Arabidopsis thaliana: one gene and its partner. The protein of the gene in region 2 interacts with the protein of the main gene of each other region in a biochemical or structural test. Each region holds a gene or a part of one and is shown on either strand. Other genes may lie near its edges.

Evidence for each region. Proteins that work in one complex are often made in the same cells at the same time.
Region 1: the proteins of TSPO (region 2) and TIP2;3 form a complex in vitro, tested with the Arabidopsis thaliana proteins (one study listed by BioGRID).

What each region holds. Positions count from the first base shown.
Region 1 is NC_003076.8:19,247,648-19,251,334, forward strand, and holds TIP2;3 (tonoplast intrinsic protein 2;3), read right to left. Parts: upstream 1,976-3,687; 5' UTR 1,820-1,975; coding exon 1,442-1,819; intron 1,237-1,441; coding exon 862-1,236; 3' UTR 602-861; downstream 1-601. Other genes in the region: AT5G47455 (uncharacterized protein), read left to right, coding at 3,158-3,333, 3,431-3,549. UniProt on the Arabidopsis thaliana protein: Transports methylammonium or ammonium in yeast cells, preferentially at high medium pH. May participate in vacuolar compartmentation and detoxification of ammonium.
Region 2 is NC_003071.7:19,566,626-19,570,012, forward strand, and holds TSPO (TSPO(outer membrane tryptophan-rich sensory protein)-like protein), read left to right. Parts: upstream 1-1,838; 5' UTR 1,839-2,075; coding exon 2,076-2,666; 3' UTR 2,667-2,882; downstream 2,883-3,387. Other genes in the region: ALG3 (asparagine-linked glycosylation 3), read right to left, coding at 10-98, 288-341, 437-503, 572-729, 907-975, 1,082-1,219, 1,297-1,331, 1,431-1,596. UniProt on the Arabidopsis thaliana protein: Stress-induced membrane protein that can bind heme and may play a role in the transport of tetrapyrrole intermediates during salt stress and contribute to the detoxification of highly reactive porphyrins in the cytoplasm.

The DNA.
Region 1 (3,687 bases), on a different chromosome or scaffold from region 2:
GGTGAAGATTGAGTACGATCTGGAGTCTTCTCAGCTGAGATCTTGCTTGATTTCCTCGTGCGACGCCGTAACTTTTCAACGGAAACCATCGCGAAATCTGAGCTTGATTTAACTGATTTATGAAGAAACAATCGAAAAACAGAAGATCGACGAGCTCAGATGAACAAGAACTCGAAGATGTGAAGAGAGTTAGGTGTTGAATCGGCTGAGAACTTCGAATTCCAGCGCTCTGATACCATAATAGAACTAGAGAGAATCAAAGAATCGAACGAAGAAGAAGAAGTTTCTGTTATTCATCTTAAGAAAGTTTGTTACATTGAGACTCTCTTTATATACTAGAGAGACCCGGTTCATACCGGTTTATACTTAACCGAACCATACAATTTCATCAATTATATAGTCTATTAGTAACTTCTCATGAATCTCAAATCAATAAAATTTGACTTGCTCATATCATTCGGCAAATTTTCACATCTTTGATGTAAAATTGGTGTGGAAACTGGAATCCATTTGTATTTGGGATTTAGATATTTCAATGGACCATTCACAATCACAAATCACAAGAACAACAAAAATCTAAGAGAAGATAAGTAGTTTGAATCCGATCGTTAAGTACGTTTTAATTATGTCGATAACTTTATGAAAGTAAAATGCCATAGAATACAAAAACATATGAAAGAAACCAAACATGCTATACGTTAAAAAAAAGGAGATGAAGTGAAATGTATATACATTTTCTTATTAACAGGACATAACTTTTTTTCTTTTCTCTACATACAATCTTGCAAGAAAGTGGACACCAAACATACACACGCAAACAAAACATCAACCAACCATCAAGCAATCACAAAACCCAGTCAATTACACTCGGATCTCACGGGTTTCTACCGCTTCATAAGAACCGATGAACACATCACCGTAGATAAGTCCCGCGAGTGCACCACCCACAAGTGGTCCCACCCAATAGATCCAGATTTGGGACAAGTCACCACTGACAACAGCTGGTCCGAACGACCTTGCTGGATTCATGGAGCCACCACTGAATGGACCAGCAGCGAGGATGTTGGCACCAACTATGAAGCCGATGGCGATTGGAGCGATGGTCCCTAGCGATCCTTTCTTTGGATCAGCTGCTGTGGCGTAAACGGTGTAGACCAATGCAAAGGTCACAACGATCTCCATGACGACACCTTCGACCGCTCCTAGACCGGCTGAGACCCCGTGGGTCGGTACGCTCTGCAGCAAACCGGGAAACAACTCATTAGTCAATTATTTTATACCCTTAAACCGTTTAGTTTTTGAAACGTTATAATATTTTTGTCATCATATATATATTAATATACTAACGTACCTATGACGGTACGAACATATAAACCAAACCTAACAAAAGTACAAAACCTATGTATTTTTTAATTTTCTAACTAAATTTACTAGTACGTACCTTGCCATTAGTAACAAAGACGAGGAGAAGACAAGCGACGATGGAGCCAAGACACTGAGCAATCCAATAGAAGAAACCTGTGATGAGTGTTATGTTTCCGCCGATGGCAAGGCCAAGAGTCACGGCTGGGTTAAGGTGACCACCAGAAATGTTAGCCGCAATGGAAACTCCAACGAAAAGAGCAAACGCGTGAGCAATTGCAATTGCTACAAGACCAGCTGGGTCCAAGGCTCCATCAGAGGTTAGTTTGGCAAACGCAACAGCAGAGCCAACGCCTGCGAATACGAAGAGAAGAGTTGCGATGAACTCAGACAAGTAAGCTTTAAGAGATGATACACTGAATGAGTCTCCCACACTTCCAACTTCGATCTTCACCATTTTTTGCTTTGGTTTTGTTACTTCTTTCTATTTTCTGTTATTTGGGCTTTGTATGGGCTCTTTGTATATATATAGTGAAGAGAGCAATTGACAAAAGGTGGGGTTGATATTACGTGGGAGATCATTATTGGATGCCGCCCAAACCGCCTCTTATTTGATTAATGGAAGGTTAGCAATATTAAAGATGTGTAGTGACAACTATAGTGGGATTTAATAACATGTAAGGATAAGAATCTTCTGTTGGCATTTTGATATCCCGCATTTTTAAATTAATGTTTGTGTCACACCAATAATGATAATGGCCTTATTATGTTTACTAGTCTTTGTTATTTTCAATTTCGTATTGGATTAGAGAAGTAGGAAGGTGCTAAAGTATTAGTGGGGATTATAAGTTAAATACAATTTCTTTGTTTCTTTTTTTTTTTCCTGTGCGGAGTTGGTTGATTGGAAATATTTTAAGGAAAGCCAATTTTTAACTAGATGAGATTATGACTTTTCACAAAACTAACATTATATCGAATATAGATTTAGTGTAATTCAAGTTTTTTTTTTTTTTTCATTTATAGATCTAGTGTTTGAATCCAAATGCTACTCCGAGGTCTTCTACTGATTTGATAAGAAACTTTGTCCGCCTAGGGTCGGTAACCCTTCACTCCCCGCATTACCATTCAGCCAGCTCAAAAGACATCAATCAAGAGAATTACTTACGTTTAGTTGATAATCCTGGAAAGGTAATACGATCCCAATTTCTTATTTTGTTATCAGCTCACACCTTGCTAACATTTACACATGATCAGGTAATGCTTGAATTCACGTCCGTTTTTGCAAGTCATAATGACCAGTTTGCGAATTCTCGCTCTAAGTAAATTGATTTCGTGCTCAAATGTAATATTTTGATTTTACTTTATTCAAAAATAAAATAAAATAATATCTCGGTTTCAAGAATATGATAATGCATGCAGAAAGATTTGAAAAAATTGCTTTGGTCATCCTATAGTGCTCCTCTAGCAGCGGCTGCTCCTGGATTCCCTCGGGAAGCTTCATCCGTCGTGAGTTTCACCCACGGACCCGTCCACCCTATCATTCTTGTCCCTCGTGAAGGTTTGTGGGTGTTATTCTTCGTTATCAAGCGAGTTTAGATGGCGTAACTTTTTCGTTAATGGGCCTAAAGCCCATAATGATCTGAAAGATTGCTAAACCCAAAAAAGAAGAAAAACCAGATATTTATTTTCCGGCTTCCTCATCATCTTTCCTCCGTCCGTTCTAAAACCCTATAAAAACTCTGTGGAAGAAGAAGATCGATCTCACTTTTTCCGGCTTCATTTTCTAGCTCTTACAATGGCTTCTAGATTCATGAGCAGATCCTCTGTCTCGTCTTTCAAATCCGCCATTAGATCTTCATTTCGAAATTCTCCCATTGGCACTGGATCTTCTCCGGCTGCTGCTTCATCCGCCGGATTTCGTATTCCGTCTAAACCAGCTGCTTCTCCTCTTCCCCGATTCTCCTTCTCCAGGTCTGCTTCATATGTTTAGTGTTTAATTCCATGTATCTGCTTCACTTTGGCCATTTCTTTGATCTCATTTTGATGAATTTGTGTGATTACATTATAGGTGTCCGTCGGAGCTTGGTTGTGTTCAGTCTCTGTTACCGCTACACAGCACGGTGGCGGCTGCGCGGTTGACGTCATGCTTAAGCACAACTTCCAGAAGCAGCCGAGCTCTCACTCAGGGTACTCTCTGCTGCACCTCTCCCGACCTCTAATTCTCTTTTCTGCTTTCTTTCTTGTGAGTCGCTTTATTTTGCTTTCCTTCTTTGAGTCTTTATAATTTGCAATTCTATGTTGCACAAGTCTTTTATGGTTTGCACT
Region 2 (3,387 bases):
GAACAATACCAGAAATGAATGAAAACACGTCCAAGATCAAAGGCGTTTGCTATGTATGAAACCGGATATGTTATCAGAAACGGCAGTCCCACGAGTATCTGTATAACCATTCATTGACCAGCTGAATGGTACTTCTTGCATAATCAAAACTATAATTCGCTGGATAATGCAACTCACCTATTTACATTGAAGAAACTACAGTTAACAAGTTTCCAAATTGTCTTGGAGAAACAATGCTACGCATACAAATTGGTGAATAAGAAGGCTTATAAGAGATATAGTGAAACCTGAACAAGAGCTGCACCAGCCAAAGCAGACACCACTCCAATGATATTCATGGCCTGTGAATAGTAAAACTTCACATATGAAGAAAAACAATGCTAGAAGAATAATAAAGCAAATCCATAAACTAATTCTCTTCCACGAACATATATACCTTAAGTAGCAGAAGTAACAAAGTTGGAGCATACAAAAGTACATTCATCTTTACAGAAACAGCTCCACTGTATAAAAAGAAGGGTAAGCAGACTAGTCAATCTAAAGAATCGAGAAGCAAAAGCAGCAATCTAACCTGAAAACAAGCATCCCTAGATGCCATTTACGATAGAGAAAGAGAGCCATTGATGCATGTAGGAGAGTCATGGCAAAACAATCATTAAAGAGACGGAGAACAAAGATTGAATGTATCCTCTTGGATAAACATAGTAGACTTAATGCCCACCATGGCACCTGAAATACGTAAGGATACAAGAAGAGATATCATCACTGAATTCACTAAAATCACTCCCATCATAAACAGACAAATCAAAACCAAAATATTGTTCATTAACATCGTAAATGGACAACGCTTGACAACGTCTACAAATACTTGATGAAAAGAGATAAGAAATAAGTCTTCATTTATACCACATCAGTCTTCACGTAGATGATCAAGACGATCCCCAGATTGACAATGTAGAGAACACCAAAAAGAATCTGCAAAATGTAAGAGAGTAGAATTGAGACAAATGAAGCGATGGATGGATCAAATTCCGCAGCTAATCCAAAGATAGGAGATTCAAAGAGAGGGAATTGCAAGCACCTGAGCAGGGTAGACTTCCCCTCCAGTTAAGTTCTGCACTGCAGAGTAAACATAGAGGAAACCTGCTGGATAAACCAATGGCCCTGTATCGCCTTTCAAGTTCCCATAGTCTCTCTCTCCCCCGAGAAACCCACTAACCTGCCCCAATTAGATAAATTTCACTTAAAGACTACTAGTTTACTTTGAAGAAACCACAGTTGACCATTGACACTTACCTGTGACATGTAAGCATCCCAATCGATCTTCGTGTCTGTTAAAGGCAAATGACGAAATTTGGTTTAAAACCTATGCAAATGCACATTTCGAGGGATACGCAAGCAAAAAAAAAAAGGAGGTAAATAGCTCTCACATGGAACATAGGCGATAATAAGTGCGACTAGGATTGCATCAGCAAGAATTAGCGCGAATGCGAATGGAACTGCAGGTTTTTTGAATAGATCGGATCGATTCGTCTCCTTCCCCAGCCGACGGCTACGAGAAGCTCTCAAACTCGCCGGTGATGAGGCGCCCGCCATGAAAACAGAGCAAATCGCATCAGCGTCTAGCCAACGCCGCGTAACAGACAACTACTTCCATATTACTACTCTTCTAATTAGCCCAAATTAAATGAGCCTATTGGGCTTCTTGTCTTAGTCGGTGTAGAGCCCAATTGTTGTTTTATTTTTTAATAATGCAAAAGTATTAAGCGATAAATAAATAAGCATCGCAATCGTCCCAAAACTGTGTGTATGCATCAGACATGAGCATATAGAGTAAGCACGTGTCCACACTTTTTCACAAAGTTATCTAAAAACAAAAAACAATTAATTAGCATTCGACGTGTACATATCACTCGCCACGTGTACAAGAGCCTTGGCCTTTTTGCTTCTTCTTCTTGTCTATTAATATCATCTCCTGATTATACTCTCTTTTGACCAAGCTGCTTCTTCTCCATCTATCCAACATCTCAAATCTCAGTAATCTTGTTCCTTCGATTCTGTTTTGGACGTTTGTAATGGATTCTCAGGACATCAGATACCGCGGCGGAGACGACAGAGACGCTGCAACGACGGCTATGGCCGAGACAGAGAGGAAAAGCGCTGACGACAACAAAGGAAAACGCGATCAAAAGAGGGCGATGGCGAAACGTGGTCTCAAGTCTCTGACGGTAGCGGTTGCGGCTCCTGTGCTCGTGACGCTCTTCGCTACGTATTTCCTCGGCACAAGCGACGGATACGGGAATCGAGCTAAGTCCTCGTCGTGGATCCCACCTCTGTGGCTCCTACACACAACGTGTCTCGCTTCTAGTGGTCTGATGGGTTTGGCTGCGTGGCTTGTATGGGTTGACGGTGGCTTCCACAAGAAGCCCAATGCTCTGTATCTTTACTTAGCTCAGTTTTTGCTCTGTTTGGTTTGGGATCCGGTTACGTTCCGCGTCGGGTCGGGAGTAGCGGGGCTTGCGGTGTGGTTGGGTCAATCGGCTGCGTTATTCGGATGCTACAAGGCCTTTAATGAGATAAGTCCGGTCGCTGGTAATCTGGTAAAGCCGTGTTTGGCTTGGGCTGCCTTTGTAGCCGCTGTTAATGTAAAGCTTGCAGTCGCGTGAGATCTGTAAACGCTATACGATGATGTTTGTAGAGTCTGAGTCATATGAGTGTTTCTTGTTGTTTTTGTTTTTTGTGATATATACCATAAAAGATGTCTTTGCGATCCAATGGTCTGGTCATTGTGGAGTAATAGACATGAACATGATATACTTGAGAAATAATGTGATATTGTAGAAGTTTTAAGCGTTGGTCTGAAATCAAACTGTGAGATTCTTAAAAGGCGATCGTTTTACTTTTATGTCGCCGAAACGGAACAAATTCAAACGGTAAAGCCAACTATACTTTGATCAGTTTTGGGTTGGGCCGTTGACACTGTTTTGTGGGCTTCTCAGTCAGTGGTAAACCTAAAATTAATATAGGAACTCGAGGATTAGGGCCCAATCCATTTTAACACGTGATGATATCATGTAAGGTTTGGAGGGAATATACAAAAAGTGGATGAATGATAGCGAACGAGAGGTCCTTGTGCTTTTTTGATTTACCCTCGAGACTCGTGCCGACGGAGTGGCCGTGGCTTTCGTGCAACAGTCTCGACCCATACCTCGACACGTGTTGAAAACGGTCCATTAAGAGTAAGACATCTGTCAATAGGACAGCTGTCCTAGAGGTCACTCGTCTCTCACAATCCAATCCCTTTCGCTTAAATTAAAACTAAAATGGAGCATGGCAGCAACATGCCACGTGGCTCACCAGTTTCAAATCTGAGCCGTCCGGTGTGAT